Linked DNA regions of Caenorhabditis elegans. The protein of the gene in region 2 interacts with the protein of the main gene of each other region in a pairwise test. Each region holds a gene or a part of one and is shown on either strand. Other genes may lie near its edges. The genes, in order: gpb-2, eat-16 and gpb-1.

What was found.
Region 1: the proteins of eat-16 (region 2) and gpb-2 interact in a two-hybrid assay, tested with the Caenorhabditis elegans proteins (one study listed by BioGRID).
Region 3: the proteins of eat-16 (region 2) and gpb-1 interact in a two-hybrid assay, tested with the Caenorhabditis elegans proteins (one study listed by BioGRID).

What each region holds. Positions count from the first base shown.
Region 1 is NC_003279.8:7,317,784-7,322,828, reverse strand, and holds gpb-2 (Guanine nucleotide-binding protein subunit beta-2), read left to right. Parts: upstream 1-1,743; 5' UTR 1,744-1,880; coding exon 1,881-1,957; intron 1,958-2,004; coding exon 2,005-2,093; intron 2,094-2,641; coding exon 2,642-2,778; intron 2,779-2,873; coding exon 2,874-2,992; intron 2,993-3,224; coding exon 3,225-3,417; intron 3,418-3,460; coding exon 3,461-3,679; intron 3,680-3,971; coding exon 3,972-4,068; intron 4,069-4,170; coding exon 4,171-4,349; 3' UTR 4,350-4,539; downstream 4,540-5,045. Other genes in the region: F52A8.3 (uncharacterized protein), read left to right, coding at 1-71, 234-499; F52A8.1 (DUF2650 domain-containing protein), read right to left, coding at 4,780-4,869, 4,939-5,045. UniProt on the Caenorhabditis elegans protein: Guanine nucleotide-binding proteins (G proteins) are involved as a modulator or transducer in various transmembrane signaling systems.
Region 2 is NC_003279.8:9,721,040-9,726,819, forward strand, and holds eat-16 (Regulator of G-protein signaling 7), read left to right. Parts: upstream 1-1,681; 5' UTR 1,682-1,764; coding exon 1,765-1,785; intron 1,786-1,835; coding exon 1,836-1,955; intron 1,956-2,065; coding exon 2,066-2,149; intron 2,150-2,213; coding exon 2,214-2,307; intron 2,308-2,351; coding exon 2,352-2,430; intron 2,431-2,807; coding exon 2,808-3,104; intron 3,105-3,241; coding exon 3,242-3,355; intron 3,356-3,402; coding exon 3,403-3,913; intron 3,914-3,927; coding exon of another isoform or gene 3,928-3,941; exon of another isoform or gene 3,942-3,959; coding exon 3,960-4,045; intron 4,046-4,362; coding exon 4,363-4,378; 3' UTR 4,379-5,245; downstream 5,246-5,780.
Region 3 is NC_003280.10:11,742,216-11,749,315, reverse strand, and holds gpb-1 (Guanine nucleotide-binding protein subunit beta-1), read left to right. Parts: upstream 1-1,665; 5' UTR 1,666-1,668; coding exon 1,669-1,725; intron 1,726-2,255; exon of another isoform or gene 2,256-2,393; intron 2,394-3,172; coding exon 3,173-3,286; intron 3,287-3,334; coding exon 3,335-3,430; intron 3,431-3,517; coding exon 3,518-3,596; intron 3,597-3,745; coding exon 3,746-3,896; intron 3,897-4,633; coding exon 4,634-4,763; intron 4,764-4,813; coding exon 4,814-4,885; intron 4,886-4,936; coding exon 4,937-5,153; intron 5,154-5,230; coding exon 5,231-5,337; 3' UTR 5,338-6,505; downstream 6,506-7,100. Other genes in the region: Serine carboxypeptidase ctsa-1.2, read right to left, coding at 6,569-6,748.

The DNA.
Region 1 (5,045 bases), 2.4 Mb from region 2:
TATTGCTGGAATTTGGTTCGCTGGATGGTTTGGGCTCAGAGGAAAAAATCAAAGAAAGAATACTCAACAAGGTATTTCAACTTGTCAATTTTAATTTTTCCAGTGGATATATTCTAGACAAAATTGCATTTCAGTTCAATCAAATTTCTTGAATTTCATAGATTTGAGACATTTCTAACTGCTTCACATACAAACTAAAAAATTCAGTAAAAATAGCCAATATTTCAGTTTAGTCTCATCTCCTATCATTGCCCAATCTGCTCCTGTTCCAATTCCTGTCAATTATGATAATATTCCTGGTAATGCTAATTATATTCAACACACTCGTCAAGCTCCACGTCAAATCCACGTGGACTCATCACCAAGAGATTCTGAAATATCTCGTGTCATGGTTCCTGGTGATCAGGTCATGTTCTCTGCTGAAGATCGTTATTATACCTCGTCGACGGCTCCGGCAACTGCTCACCGACCTGATGCCTACAATGTTTCTCGATATTAATTTTTCTGTCTTTCACTTTTTCTGCTTGTATATTACGCTTGAATAAATATTTTGAGTCTTAAAATTATTGGCACTGAAACTACCGGTGTACAAGAAGTGTCTTACAGCTACAGCTAGTCTAGATTTCTGGTTTTAGTGGGGAATTTATTTAAACCACTTCTATAGTGATAACATTGTTAATTATCAATATCATAGTAAAGCTTTTCAGAAAAAAGTTGAATATGTTTATGCGCTGTCGAAAAGTGGTAAATTCTCATTTTCACACATCATAACTCTGCAAGTAGACAGAAAAATATGTTTTATACGAGTTTCCTATTTTTCTTATGCCTTTTTTTATTATAATATTGTAGGTTTTAGAGCATTCCACAATGCTATTCCCTGCGAAGGATAAAGTTGCAAAAATTTGACAATTTTCCATAACTTATTTTTTCAAAAAACCTAAAACGATTGTGGGACTTTTTAAACTGGTTTTACTCAACTTTTAAGCTAACCTAGCACTTTTTTATAATTAATTTCACTTCACAAAAACCATCAAGACATGTGCATTGCCTAATTTTAACTCATCCCGTTCTTCGAGCCACTCTCTTTTCCACATCTCTTCCGTCTCTTTTCATCTTTTTCCCAGAAACCGCGACGCGACCGCATTGCATTCTCTTTCCATTGCAAAAAGGACCGCTCGGCAAAACGAGAAAAGAAATAGAGAAAATAGTGAAGAGGGAGAAGCGAGACATAGCGGAGTAAGGCACGCAAATAGAATTCATTGCACCATGATTTCGGGCCCTCGACGGCTTTTTGTCGTGGCGAATATAGTTTTGTCTTAATCAATACCATCAAATTTATGATAATTTAATGATAATGTAGCCACATCCATCCTATTTTTGAGCATGTTCAACAGAATAACTTTGCAAAAAAGGCTTTTACTTTTATTTTTTATAAACGTTACTTATAAAATGTGTGAAACTCCGATCATTGCAAAACCTTAGGCAAATATAAATTAATAGTAATGGTAGTACGATATTTTGAATTACCTTATCAACATGTTTTTGGTTTAAAATCAAATTCTTTTTACATTGTGCTCGTTTCAATTGTGCCAAACTGTTGTCTAATTTGTTGTTTCAAATAAAAAATTAAAATCCAAAATCATGTAAATGATCTTGATCTTCCTATATATTTCTTACATTTCTAGGCATGTCCTTTAAGAATTTGGCTACTTCAAACTTATTTTTTTAATAGCAATGTTTCAGGAAAAATGTGCCTCTAAACCTCAAACAAACCGCCCATCTCTAATTGTTCTATTCAAATTCATTTTCTTCAACCCTCAGTCTTCTCTTCCTTTTTTTGCATAATTCGTCTTCTGATCTCAAAAAGAAACGCAATTTGAATGAGCACCATTGCTGGAGAATCGTCTTCCTCGTCGAAAATGCCAGAAAACTCTCAGCCAACAACAACCGAAAAAGGGTATTTGTACATTTTACATTACAAAGGGTTACACTACATTATTTCAGATCGGAATATTTAGAACAATTGGCAAATGAAGCCGAAGAGCTTAGAAAGAAATTGGATCAAGAGAGGCACAAGCTTAATGACATTCCTAGTAAGTATTTGAAAAAAATTAAAAAGATAATTTATTAGAATACTTCAATTTAAAAAGAGGGACTTTGAAGAAGAACACTACTAAAAAATTGAACTTTACAATTCCTAGGTTAGAAATCCTCCGGAGTCTTTTTTCTTTGTTTTTTTATTGAAAAAATAAACTTTTGAATTAAAAGCTCACAATCAGTGAGGATATTGAATAAAAATATCAATGCGGTTCTTCATAACCGAATATTATAATTGCCCAAATATCAATACACACCAAAAATTACGTCTAAGTTTTGGTAAATTGTCAAATCTAGGTGAAGTTGGACTTTTTGAGAACTTGTTTGACTGAAAAAAGTTGAAAAAAGTTTTTGAAAACTTTAAAGAAATTTGAGTTAAATAATTTGATGAACAAAAAGATACCAGATATGCTTTGTGATATTTGCATAATTCTAAATGTTTTCTCTTTGACTTTTTTGAGGTTATGCCTAATTTACTATTACCAAGAACTACAGTAATCCCAAAACGCACTAAGTAGTTTTTTACATCCTAAGTAATTTTCAGTTCAACAAGCAGCCGAACGACTTGACGTTATGGGAGCTCTTGGTGTAAAACAGCGTCGAATTTTAAAAGGACACGTGGGAAAAGTATTATGCATGGATTGGTCATTGGATAAAAGACATATCGTCTCTTCATCTCAGGTTGGTTTAAAATATGACTTACAAAAGATTCAGTAGTCTTCAAAAATTGAAACCTCGATTTCTAAAATGAATTTGCTCAAATTAGTAAATTTTAGGACGGGAAAGTGATTGTATGGGATGGATTTACTACGAATAAGGAACATGCTCTTACGATGCCAACAACTTGGGTTATGGCATGTGCATTCTCTCCATCGAGTCAAATGATCGCTTGCGGGTAAGATTTCTTTCAAATACTTCAAAGCTTTCAAAAAATACAAACGGTAGTACACGGACTTATAGTGTTCATGAGAATTTATTGTTTTTTTTTTCAAATTATAAAAGAGCTCTTACAGACGGAATTTTCAAAAATTGGCTCATGTATACTTTACCAATTTTGAAGCTTTCATGTTATTAATTAAAAATTTTTATTATTATTTTTTGAATTTTCAAAAATTCCAATTTTACAGAGGACTTGATAATAAATGCAGTGTCGTTCCACTTTCTTTTGAAGATGATATAATTCAAAAGAAAAGACAAGTAGCAACTCATACTTCTTATATGTCATGTTGTACATTCCTTCGTTCGGATAATCTTATTTTAACTGGAAGTGGAGATTCAACATGTGCTATTTGGGATGTTGAAAGTGGACAACTTATTCAGGTTTTTTATTCTCGCGAATCGGAAACCCAATTCAAAAATTCAGAATTTCCATGGTCATACTGGTGATGTATTTGCAATCGATGTTCCAAAATGTGATACTGGAAATACATTTATTTCCGCAGGAGCTGACAAACATTCTCTTGTATGGGATATTCGTTCAGGACAATGTGTACAATCATTTGAAGGACATGAAGCTGATATTAATACTGTTCGATTTCATCCAAATGGTGATGCATTTGCAACTGGATCTGATGATGCTACTGTAAGTCACAAGTGTTTAAACTTCTTCATTATTGAAAATTGGAGAAGGGATGGGAAATTATGGAAGCCTTGCACGACCATGTGTCGAATTACGCAGCTAGTGTACTCCTCGAGAAGAAGTGACAATATGCCCACTTCTCCTCGGGGAGTACACGAGCTGCGTAAATCGACACATGGCCGTGCAAGAGAATCTTAATTAAATTTCACGGTTATTCTTCCATTTTTCGAAAATTATAGTTTGGGAGAAAGTCGCGAGAGTTGCTTGTTTTGTCTGAAAATATTACTTTTTCCAGTGTCGCTTATTCGATCTTCGAGCAGATCGTCAAGTATGTGTGTATGAAAAAGAATCAATCTTGTTCCCCGTAAATGGAGTCGATTTCAGTTTGAGCGGTACGTTTAAATCTTCACAAAAACGTATAGTCCAAATCAATTCAATGCATCTCTGAAATTCACAGAACTAAACTTTTCACTCTAACTATTAAAAAATTACAGGTCGTATTCTATTTGCTGGTTATGGTGATTATCGTGTCGGTGTATGGGATTCGCTGAAATGCGCCCGTCATTCAGTACTTTATGGACATGAGAATCGTATTAGTTGCCTCCGAACTTCTCCTGATGGAACAGCCGTCTGCTCGGCGAGCTGGGATTGCACAATTCGCATTTGGGCTTGATTATTTAATATTAATTTTTCTCTTACAATTTTTGAGCTTTATGTCACTTTACTCATCCCCCTTCCCACCAGTCTCTATCCCTGTACTATTATCTAACCATCCCACTATTTTCTCCTATCTCAACTTTCTAGTCACAAATACTGTAAAGTACTCGTTCATTGCTGAATGATGTAAATAGAATTCACTAAATACACCTGTTAAAATACAATTCAAAAAGGCAAGGGTGAACTGTGAGGAAAGGAAAATTACATAACAAAAAAGAAAGAAGTGTGGAAAGTAGAGTATTCAATGAGCAACGTATGGCAAATTATCAGAGAATATTAAAAGGAAGAAATTCAGTGAATTGGTTATAAAGAGAAAAGTGGAAATTTTGATAAAACTGTTGCCCCGAAGATTTGATGAAGAAATGTGAAAATTATAAGTCAAATACTTATGCGCAGCAGAAGCATCTGACGCAGTTGATGATGATCGAGAGAATCGTGCAGACGGCAAGGAAGAGAAGAAGAACAGTAACCCAATCCTGAAAGAAACAAATTTAGAAATTAACATATTTAAATTTCAGCAGATCTTTTGAAAAATGAATTATTACCTGAAGACGGAAGCAACACTGATCAGCAATCTGTCCGCAGCACTTGAAGTACCAGAAAACGTTCTCTTCTGGGCAAGCTTGTCCGACAACTGGAAGTGGGCATGCCA
Region 2 (5,780 bases):
GTCTAGTTGTCTCGTCACTCTCCTATTGCCAGTTCTCTCTATCTCTCTTTAGTGTGCAAACACCGAATTGAACACCGTATCCATCAACACATTTCGAACCTATTCAGTTTTCCCAGCAATATAATACACAGTTTATGGGTTGTTTATATTCAAGTTTCTCCGTCTTTTTCTATTGGAAATGAAAGATGATAACTCTGCGAGCGAAAAGATGATCGGAGGTCGATTCGCATGAATTTCCCATCGGAAAATTGAAAATCAGTATTGATTGAAACAGGAAGAACCACAAACGAATGTGTTAATTTATCACTCTTTATTATGACGATTTGTTCTGAATCTGGAACATAAAACTCTGATTAATAAAACCAATAAATTTATTATTTTATTTATTCCGCAATTACTTTCTTTTTTTTTTTGATTTGACAACCCAAATTATATTTTGGAAATTCTATTGAACTTTCTATTTATTTTCTAATCAACGTCGAAAACCGGTAGATCCTGCTGTGATGCCTAAATTCTGTACAGATTTCTCAAAATTTTTAGCAGATTTTAAGCGGATTTTAAGCGGATTTGAGATTTTCCCAAATTTTTTTTAAGTACTGAAAATTTCAAAGAGAATCAGCAATCGACGGAAGAATGTTGATCCATTTGCAGAAGAAAACCGAGCAGTCAAATATCCCAAAAGATTACTGAAACTATTGTGTAATCAATTTTCAATGCCCTGAACGAATATTAAAATCAGAATCAAAGATCGTTGACAATGTTCGCAATAGTTGAAATACGAAACAATCAACCCGTTTTTCACTTTTTTGACATTTTTTCTCCAAAAAAAAAGCTAGATGAGGGGAAGAGTAGAAAGTAGTAGTATCCTTCGCCTACCACCACTACCAAAAAGCAACACACACCATATACATGTTGAAGAGACTGAGATGTTAAAGGGAAAAGAAGAAGAAGCTCGTTGTCGCTGTCGTCGTCTTCGAAGCCGTAGCACATCGAAATTGAATAAAAGGGGAAAGAAGTGGACACAAGAGACGCAGAAGAATGAGAAGAAGCCTGGAATACTGCTTCTACTGCTGATTGTGACAACTCGAGACGACGAGATCGATCCGTGAAGTGAAAAGAAGGAGAAGCAGCAGCAGTAGCAGCACACGCACACACTCACTCACGCATCTCTGACACACACATGCACACACATAGAGGGCTCTCGAAGCCCTCTCGGAGCCACAGAGTAATTGAGAGAGTGAGAGACGTTAGACTGCTCGATTATTGGAAATCATTGGGCTGTAGGGGACCCGGCGACTAGGCAGAGAAGGGAAGGCGCCGCTCTCGTCGCCTGCGCTATTGACTTTGCCTGTCTGCGTTTGAATTCAGGAAGACAGCTTCGTCGTATGTCTCACATTCTCACTCAAAATCCACACTCACACACACACGCGCACAAACCCTCACTCTCCTCACCCGCTCACATATACACACATAAGCACCCCCTCGCCCCCCTCTCCGCCCACCACGCACCACAGCAGTCCCCCATCCCCGGAGAAGAAAGAAATAGAGAACGAGAGAGTCAGAGAACTAGAGATCTAAGCATTTTGGCCTTACTATTTTATTATTTTTCATTCCTATCATCTCCATCATCGTTTACTGATCTGCAACCGTATGATACAGTTCTCAAATATTCAATTTGCAGATTATTATTCTAATATTTAATTCAAAAATATCAAAAGCTGTCGAGCTGATTGAGACACGCTGCTCTCAAACCCCGCATTTTGTATGATGCCACCGTTGACCAAGGTATTTCATTTGAAGTTCAATTTTCTTAAAATTTCTTTTGAAAATTTTAGATCGAGGTGCTCGCGAAGCGAGTGATGGAAGGTGCGCAATTGAAAACGCATAAATACTTCCGGATCGCCGTGCCTCATGCCATCACCGGTCAGCAATTGATAGCTCTCGTTCTTGAGCGAGTGAGTTTACTTTCCTCTCAAATACAGCAGGAGCACTTATTTGAAAACTTATAAAGCTTCTGACAAGAAAATCACAAAAATTATGAAAATAAATTTTTAATTTTTAACAGGGTGCTCCTGACGATGAGGCTGAAGCGAGTCATCTGGCAAGTTTGTTACTTCACCACGGTTACATGTTTCCAGTTATCGAACATGTAAGTTAAAGACTGCAGTTTTTCAGTGTTTAACTTAAGTATTTTAAATTAAAAATTAATTCAGGGCCAACCTTTCAAAGACGATGGAACGTTATACAGGCTTCAAAGGCCGTATTTTTGGCCTTCACAGGCTGAACTGGTTCCGGATGTTGAATATGGTAATTCCAAGAAAAGTTATTGTATCTGATCCACTATATTTCAGCCATTTACCTCAACAAGCGATTGCTCCGAAATGAGCAAAAACACGGGTTAGAAGAAGATGAAGTTGAGTCATTCAACAGGTATGGGACATTATTTCGGACATTAGGAAAAATTATTTAGTCAGAAAATATTGAACAATCCTCACGACTTAGAAATAAATTGGTAAAGCTTCGCCAAGAAATCTTACTGAGATCACGAAAAATGTCAAAGTGTACAGAGATTAGTTTTGGCATTTTTATGATTTCAGTTTTGGAGTCGAAAGCTATTATTTTTAACCTTTTAAAAATTGGGTTTTTAATTTTTTGAACGTGCATCGCTGCAGAATGAAAAATCGAAATAATAATTTAATTTTTTTTAGATTATTGAGTTATCTTTCTCGAAATCTGAAAGTTATCTCTGGTGATAGAAAAGTATTTTGAATTTTCAATACATATGGCATTCAAAAATAAATTTTCAGACTTGCCGATGTTCTCGCACACATGTGGGCTTTCATCGTTCAACAGTCTGAGCTTCAATTGAAGCAGCAAAAAGAAAAAAAGAAAGTGGACAAGGTAGTGTTCGATTCAGAAGAACGAGCGTTTTGGAAGATACGAAAACCAAGTCGTGGTGGACCAAATTTCCTAGAGGACCCTTATATGAAAATAGAAAAGAAAATACGACGGCAGAATGCACAAGGTTATAGATGTCTTATGGATCGATTACGATTTGCAATCAAGACAAAGCCATGGCTAAAAGCATTAAAAGCATCGGATACGTGAGTATATTCAATCCAATTGTAAACTTTTCCTAGCTGAATCGAATCAAAATATGTATTATTAAGATTGAATTTCGAACTGATAATGGATCAGATATCAAAAGACAATAGATTCAATTAAATAATTCGTGTTTCAGAATGGTGACGTGGGTTGACCAAAGAGCTGAATTCGATCCATTCCTTCACCCTCCACAACCATCCAATCCATGGATCAGTGATGAAGCTTCATTTTGGAATCAGCCTACTGACACGTAAATTATTATTTAATCTTTAATCTTTATTGCAAATACTTTTTCAGGTCAAGTGCCGAGATCCCTACCGAGAAACGGGTAAAACGATGGGGACTTTCTGTTCAAGAGCTTGTGAAAGATCCTATAGGACGGCAAGTGCTCGAAACATTTTTAGAATCCGAATTTTCGTCGGAAAATATACGGTTCTGGATAGCGATACAAGATTTGAAATATGCACCGAATGAGCAGATATACCAGAAAGCTGAAAGAATACGAGAAGAATTTTTGGCTCAAGGAGCACCTGCACAAGTAAATGTAGACAATAGAACCCTCGATCAGACATTGGAGTGTATTTCGAAAGCGAAAGATGCTTCACAAATGAGATTCGCATTCTATCATTCTGAAGAGCACGTGTTCACATTGATGGCAAAGGATTCATATCCACGTTTCGTCCGATCCCAAATCTACAAAGCAGTATTGACAGCAGCGCAACAGCACGGAACAAAGCGACTCGGGTGGCGCAACTTCGTATTCAACATGGGTACAACTAAAAAACCAGCAACGAGTAAACCAGCAAAGGCAAGATTTTCCAGGAAATTATGTATGAAAACTTTGATATCTTCAGCCGCAAGATTCCATCGGGACTGGTCAAGTTCTCCCAAAACAGCTATCGTCCGACTCGCTGCCAGTTCGACAGGCTCATGGGGTCAAGTAAGTTGTGGAAATATGTCAGAAAAATCTATTAAAATGGGACAATCCTACCACACGAACAATTAACTCCAAAACTGTTAAATTTATATATTAGTTAAGCTTTTGTTCAAATAGGATAAACTGGCGATATACACCTTTAAATATCGGCTAGTTTTTTTTGAGTTAGTATTCCCAATCATTTTTTCTGTAACCTGTTGGTGCTTAAATCTCCTGTCTTGGCAGTTGCCATGAGATTTTTTGGCCAAAGACTAATGACTCAAATCCATCAAAGCTAAACTCATGACCTACTCTCTTCAGCTCATTTCTTTATTTTGCAGACCGGATCCCGAATGACGTCATTCTCTTCTCACATCTCGTTTCTCTTTTCTGCGTGTACGTACGTGTCTGCGTCTCTCTGTATATTCTTTTTCACTTTTCCCTCTTCTTTCTCAAAAAAAAAACCAAATCAAATAACGACCATCAAAAAGGGAAATCAGTATCCTCTGCATCGGTTTTACACGCAAATTTAAATATTTCGAAGCGAACCATTTGATATGTGTATTATCAATGAACTTCTTCTCAAAATTAACAATCTCGAACCACCCAACACTGCATATTTTGACCTTATTTTCTCTTCCAAATCGATCGATAATACATGTAATTCCACAGTCTCTTCAGACTCTTCTAGTCCATCATAATCCACATCTCCTGCCAGCTTCTTCTTCATTTTCACGATATACTAATTTGTAATCCTATTTTCTCACAAAAACGTGTACAAAGTGTTATATTTCTTTCTATTACCCATATTATTTTAATCTTTTCAGAAAATCAATTTTTGTTTCCCTCATTCATTTCACACAGAGTTCTCCTGCTTTTTTGGCACACTTCTCGTTTTTTTTTCAAAATTTTAAAAGTATCTGTAAGGTACCGCTAGCGTATTTAGGTGTTTCAACCTAACTTTTTTCAATTATATCTACTCAAAAATAATTTGATTTGAAAATGGTAATTCGCACCAAAAATGACGATATCATAACGTCTCAGTTCTTTTTTTTTCCAAAAATCATATATAAATTTCATTTTCTCTTACCCTCTACCTGGTGTGATTGTCTCAAAAAAATCAACTTTCAGAACCGGAGTTGTTACATAATATATTATTAATGTGTCAGTATATCATTATTTTCAGCTTTTTGTAGGCGTTGATGTTCAATAAAATTATTTATTCTTATTTTTATGTCTGTGTTACACCTTAATATATATTCGAAACTATGGGGAACTCTGGGAATAAGAAACACAAGGAAAGGGTTTTTTGAAGAATAAAAATTTCTTATATTACATAGATGTCTGAAGATGAAAATTTTGCGGGAAAAAACAACCAAAATGTGCTACGACACGGGAAATTTTTGGAACAATAGAGATTTTGAATAAATTTACAGAATACCGATTATGAGCACGAACGGATTCCGCAACGGATCACCCAAAATCAAACAGTGGGAAAAGGTTTTAGTTCACTTCCATTAATAAAATTGTCTGGATATATCTAATCTTCCAATTTACAGAAAATCCAATATGTATTAAAAATTCACAACGAAAACCCGGGGACCCGGGGAAAACTATTGATTTATCAAAATTATGTTGATTTTTCGAAGAGAAAAAATATAAATAATTTCTTTTTTTTTAAATTGAACCTTTTCCCCGGAAAAATCAAAAAACAGACACCATTTTTTTGGTACTATAATTTCAAGTTTTAAACTGGTAA
Region 3 (7,100 bases), on a different chromosome or scaffold from region 2:
TTTTCATTTCCTGTGCCCATTCACATTTTAGACCCAAACACCAGCCATTAAGCCGTCTTGCGTCCTGCCACGTCACATCAAAGCCATTAATCTTCGATGGCAGTCTGGCTCGGTCAAAATTGGCCTATTTTTGTCTGAGAACTTTGTACAATTTTATTGGTTAAAAATGCTCGCACCACCTGCTGGAGGGCACCAGATGTCCCCTCGCCCAAAGCAATTAGAATTCTGCATTTAGCAAACAAAAGTTGAATCAATAATTCGCAGATCCAATGGTAGGAGAGAGAAAGAGTGAGCCGCGCCTTCTTCGCACAGATATATATTAGCTTTTGTCACGTTTTGCGCTCCTACCTGGGAGAGCCCAAGGTATTTGAACACGGAGAGCAATATGTTCCCTCAAAACTCAAATACCTGTGCCCCATCATTTCCTTCCTTAATTCCCTCATTTCATTCGACATTTGTGGTATTCAGTTTCTTTTCTTTCTTTTTTGTCATTGTTTTGTTCTTCCGCGCCACACACACACACACAGACCAACACTTTTACATTTTTTCCCGCCCGCTCCCCTTTTCCATCCCGCTTGGTCTGCGTCTCAAGGTTTGGTTTCTTTCTCGTACAGTGTTCCGCTCTCACGCCAGTTTCTGAATCGATCTATTGATTTTTTGAAAGTTAAAAATTTTGCTTAAAATTTCTGAAGCTTATGATTTTGGTTTGCAGACCGTCATTCTGTACTTCCTGATCAGCAGCTTGGTCTCACCGTCTTTGCCAAGTTGACGTCGGTCGAGGGGTTTTAATTAAAAGGGTTAGTGATATAGATTTCTTTCTAGTAGGTTTTTCATGTTTTGATCAAAAACATACCTTTAGTTTATTCTTATTTTATTATCTCACCTATAGGGATCCCTAGAGCTAATAATCTACTTCCAAAGTTCCTCTCTAAAGAATTAAATATTTTCCCGTCTAGTTATCGATTTTAGAATCGAACTATTTTATTAGATAAGTAAGACCAAAATGTGTTGTTTTTTCAAATATAGAATTCTGGAATCACTTATTTTTAAATTGAAAAAAATCCATTTTTTTCAAATTTTTGATTTTTACATAAATTACTTGATTACAATGAAACAATCAATAATTTTCTTCATTTTTTGATTGGTTTTCGCATTGAATATTCAATTTAAAACTTATTAATTAATTAATTAAATAAAAACAAAAAACATTGCGCGGCAATTAGCATGTGCTGGCCTACCGTAGTTTCTGCAAACACCGTGACGTCAATATGCACACTGTTGTTTTTCTTTGATTTTCTTTCCTTTTTTGACCTTTTTATCTTATTTTTTCTTATTTTCTCCACAGAAAATCTCTAAAAGCTTCGAAAACTTGAATTATTTTAACGATAAATTTAATTCCTTCATGAAAATAATCAAATTCTTGGAAAAAATCGATTTTTTCTGCTATTTCCTTCAAACTCTTTTTTTCTATCCAATAATTCTTAATTCACGCTTTTTTTTGCAGGCCCAGTTGTCGAGTGCAAGAACAAAGGCCACGAAGACGACGAATAGAGCAGCGCCGCCGTCGAAAACGCGAACACCGACCAGGAGCAGCATTAGCCGCAGCCGCATCCGTCGACACTTCCATCAGTACCATCCTCCGGAGCACGCACCACCACCAGCAGCAAGATGAGCGAACTTGACCAACTTCGACAGGAGGCTGAACAGCTGAAGTCGCAGATTCGGGTGAGTAAATCTGTGTTTTTTTTTATTTTTTAAAATATTTTTTAAACTAATAATTGCAGTAATCTCTCGTTCCAGAGCATGGTCTAGCAATTGTTTGAATATGCGAAATATGAGAAATACACGCATTTATATATTTATACACACACATATACACACATACATATACAAATTGTTGGTAATAAGTAAAGCGCTCCCCTTCCAACGATGCCGCCGCCGCCGCCATCGGCGTTGTTTTTGCGCCGTACTTGAGGGGACGTGCTGCTGCACTGGATGTGTATAACACGATGGTCGTCGTCCCCCAGCCGTCGTCGTCTTCTTTTCTTCTTCTTCTACCCGCCATCGCCGCTGCAAAATATCGATCAGTAGCAGAAGTTGTTGCTCCACACACGCAGGCCGCGGCGAGCCATTGGCCGAGATGGGGTCGCCCCTGGTGGGGGCACTGAGACGAGGAGAAGCTGGAGCAGCAGCAGAAGCAGCGAGCGAGCGAGGAGAATAGATTGGCTGCCTAATGTGAGATTGTCGGCGTCTCCGGCTCTTGTTCCACTATTTTCCCGGGGCCCCGCCGCCGAATGCTCTCAATTTCTGCCGCTACTGCTGGCCAAGAGCACGAGAGAGAGAGAGAGAGATCTCTCGCAGTCTCTCTTCTGCGCAAGCTCCACTCGTGTCGTAGTGCGCCATTCTCCCTTGAGGACTCTGCTGCCGTCGTCGTCGTCGTTGTCGTTGTCATCGCGTCGCTCACTAGAATTGGTGGTAGCTCCTGCTCCGACGAGCACTCACACACACACACATGGTTGTGCGTGTGCGCGAGCACAAAATGTTGCGCGGGGTTTGGTGAAGCTCTCGTGGTGCTGAAAACGGGGTGAGCTGGCCTGGAGCGAGGAGGGGCAGCAGAGATAGAAAATACACTGAATTGGTGTTAATTAAATGCACAAAACATTTATGGAAGTGGAAGATTTTTCGCTTCAAAAATACAGTCCCCGGTCTCGAAGCGACAAATTTTTGTGAAAAGATTACTGTAATTTCAAATTCGGGAATTTTCAGCAATTTTCCATATTATGTGGACGTCTAAAAATGAGAGGTTCTGATCCCCCATGTCGATTTACGGGGCACTATTGCATCATCTCAAACTGTCCATTTAATGTGTTTAATGTATGCAAAAATATGTAATAACAGCCCGTAAATCGACAATTCGTGGCGAGACTCATGTGGCAAAAAACCTCATATATATCCGTCTAGATAATAGTTTTTCTCTCGATTTTATAAAAATTTATGTTTTTTAGTTGAAAACTATGAAAAATCGATGAAAATTCCTAGAGTGGAAATTACAGTAATTTTTATAAAAATTTAAGGCCCGAATTTACAGATTTTGAAGTAAAAAGTTGTAAAAACCAATAATTTGAAGTTTTTCATAATTAAAAAAAAAACAAAATAAATTAATTTTTTGCAGGAAGCCCGGAAATCAGCAAATGACACAACACTGGCCACCGTCGCTTCAAATCTGGAGCCAATTGGCCGCATTCAGATGAGGACGAGACGTACGCTTAGGGGACATTTAGCCAAGGTAGGGCTTTCAGACTTTTTCTAGTCATAAAATCGATAAATTTTGCAGATTTATGCAATGCACTGGGCATCAGACAGTCGCAATTTGGTGTCAGCTTCACAAGACGGAAAGCTCATCGTTTGGGACTCGTACACCACAAATAAAGTGAGTTTTTTTTGACGATTTTCAATTGTTTTTTTTTTGATAAAAAAAGAAAAAATTTAAAGAAATTAATTTGCATTTTTTTTCCAGGTTCATGCAATTCCCTTGAGATCATCGTGGGTGATGACTTGTGCCTATGCTCCATCGGGATCGTTTGTCGCTTGTGGAGGTAAGCTGAAGGATTACTCATTGTATTCAAATTTTCCGGAGAGATTACTGGGAAATCTGGGTTTCTATTGAGAATTTGAATCTCGTAAATCTACACGAGCAAAATTCAAATTTTTTAAAATAAAAAGTAACAATTCTCAATTTTTCCAGGTCTCGACAACATTTGCTCAATTTACTCGCTGAAAACACGCGAGGGAAACGTGCGGGTGTCTCGTGAGCTTCCAGGACATACTGGATACTTGTCGTGTTGTCGATTCCTTGATGACAACCAAATTGTCACCTCTTCCGGAGATATGACTTGGTGGGTTTTTTTTTTGAAAAATTTCATTTTTTTTAATTAAAGAAAAATCCTATAAAAAATCATAAATTATCAACTAGTTTCTACTTTTCATTTTTTTTTTTCCGCGTAATTTGAGCATCAGTGTATAGCCAGAGCACACAAAAGTAGAAGAAGTGCGAAGGAGAAATTCGGATGTTGAATGTTGATGAGTTTGTTTTCAAACTGGGCTCTTTTTGTGCCGCTTGATGAAATTGAGGTGGAGAGAAGCAAAGAACGTGTGAATAAAAGACAGAAAGAGCACAAAAGTCGGCCCGCGAAAAATGTAAATTTTCGGACTTCAAAATTTTACAAGTCTATTGTTAAATTGTGATCTCTAGACGTGTAGTTTGTACTTTGAAAAGTTTAAAAAAATTCCAGTTTGAAAATGTAAGAAAGATTTCAGATAACTTCCAAAATTTATCTCGTGATTCTGCAAAATTTCAGATTTTTTAAAGCCACACGCTATTTTCCGATTGGGTCTCGCCACGAAAAAAAAAGAAGTTTGTAAAGTTTCAAATTCTAAAGTGCAAATTGCATTTTAGAGTTTAAAATTTCATTTTCTACACCAAATTAACAAATCTGAGAAATTTGGCGCCTGTAGCGGCCACTATGATCGTGGCGAGACCCACTTTTCAAACCGGCATGTGCCTTTAACCTCTACCATATCATATAATATCACTTTTTCGTAAATTATCCTAATTCTCCAATTTTTTTTCCAGCGCTCTATGGGACATTGAAACCGGACAACAGTGCACCGCGTTCACCGGTCACACTGGTGACGTCATGTCGCTTTCACTTTCTCCAGACTTCCGCACATTCATCTCAGGAGCCTGTGACGCTTCGGCGAAGGTATAGGATTTTTGAAAAGTTGATTTTTTTTTAAATTTTTTAAATTTCAGTTGTGGGATATCCGAGACGGCATGTGCAAGCAAACGTTCCCAGGACACGAGTCAGACATCAACGCTGTTGCCGTAAGTTTTATTATTTTGAAGATTTTTCAAAAAAAAATCAATTTTTTGCAGTTCTTCCCATCCGGAAACGCGTTCGCCACCGGATCCGACGATGCGACATGCCGATTGTTCGACATTCGTGCTGATCAGGAACTTGCCATGTATTCTCATGATAATATTATTTGCGGAATCACTAGTGTCGCATTCTCAAAATCGGGTCGCCTGTTGTTCGCCGGATACGACGACTTCAACTGCAATGTTTGGGATTCGATGCGACAGGAGAGAGCTGGTGAGTGCCTTTAGCTCCTTTTTTTGAAATTTTCCAAGTTGAAAGTGATGAAAAACTAATTGTTCTTCCAATTTCAGGAGTATTGGCTGGTCACGATAACCGAGTTTCTTGTCTAGGAGTCACCGAGGACGGTATGGCCGTGTGCACAGGATCATGGGACTCGTTCCTCAAGATCTGGAATTAAGAAACATCAAATGTCTTCCTTAATTATTCTCCAATTATTGATTGAATGATGATGACACTACGTGGCAATTTTTTTCCCCATTTTCCCCAATTTTTTTCCGCTCTTGAAACCCCCCTGTTGTTCTCATTCTTTCGTCGCTATCCGCTATCCCGGCGCCCTCTTCCGCGTGCCCGGATCTCTTTTTCTTCTCTCACCTCTTCTCATCGCTTTTTGTTCGGTACTTTCTAGTCTCTCTTCAATCGCCCTCCCCATATTACTTTCCTTGACGTTTGTTCGAATTTTCTCATCAATTTTTTTTACTATGTGAAAATTATTATTATAGCAATTCTCAACTCTCTCTCTCTCATTTATTTTTATTTCACATTTTCTGTGTCTCCCCGCCCCCCGCGAAGCTTAATCTTTCTTCCTCTTTCACCACTCACTTTAGTCACAGACACATACACATGCGCGCGCTCTCTTTCTCTCCCCGATCGTATTCTACTAACATGATATTCATGCTACGACAAAAAATTTTATATATATGTAAGACAAATTTGTGCTCGGCGAGCAAGATATACAGTGATGGAGCCACGCGCGCGGAGTACAATTTTGAAATCGAAAAGCGAACGCCACGCGCATCACTAATCCTAAAACCCCCACATCAAGAAAAGCACAATATGAGATCCATTCTAATTATTATTTCCTCCCGATATATAATTATTTAAGCTTCTTTTTTTCTCTATTTCTGGTATCATCTTCTCTCATTTCTCGTCTTCTACACTAATTTAATTGACTCCCCCCACAAATCTTCACCTCTTTTTTTTGTCTTCTATGTATCCCATCGATCCCTTTCCAGACCGTTTTCAACTTTTTCACACACACAAAACCCCCTAAGTTTTTTTTTCTAATTTCTTTTAATTCTCCTACCACCGTGATTTTGTAAGTTCTTCCGATCGCAAAATTAAAGATAAAAAAGTTCTCATTTATTCGGATAGCTGCCACTTCTTTTCCTCTCTTCTCCCCCTCAACCCCCCACATCTGTTTAATCCATCACAATTCTTGAAAAATGAACATCCCCCATCCCCCCATCTCTTCTTTTCCCCAAAACACCCAAAAAATCTTATTTCCCTTTTTATTCTTTTTTATTGTTTCAATTTCCAAATTCTTATAAATTGCTGGAACCTTATAACCTCTTGTGAGCTCAGTTTTTCAGACATTTATTTCAAAATTATTATCATTGTTCTCCTAACGATTAGAAGGCCTTGTTGAACAGGAACGATTGGATGATGTGCTCGGCGACGGCTGGCTTGTCGGTTGGTACCATGTGTCCGGCTCCGCGAACAGTGGCGAATGTCACCTGGGATCCCTTGTACTGTGTCACGTATCCACCGATTTGACCCTTCACAGTGAAGTGGGTCTTCTTCTTGGAGAGCTGGAAATTAAATTATGGAATTTTTACAAAACATTAAAAATCTTGGGTCTCGCAGCGATTGAGAGCTTATTGTTTAAAAATACGGTACCCGGTGTCTCGACACGACAATTTTTATGAATGCAAAACGATGTGCGCCTTTAAAGAGTAATATTTTCAAAAAAATAATTTTCGATGAAAAATCCGCAGCAACGGAAGTTTGAAACTACAGTACTCTTTAAAGGCGCACAGCTTCGCTCATTCAACAAAAATTTATCGTGTCGAGACCCGGCGCCGTATTGTTTGGAAAAACTTTGGGTCTGGATAATATATAGATATCTTTTTATTGAAAAAAGCAAAAACTGTGGTTTATGCC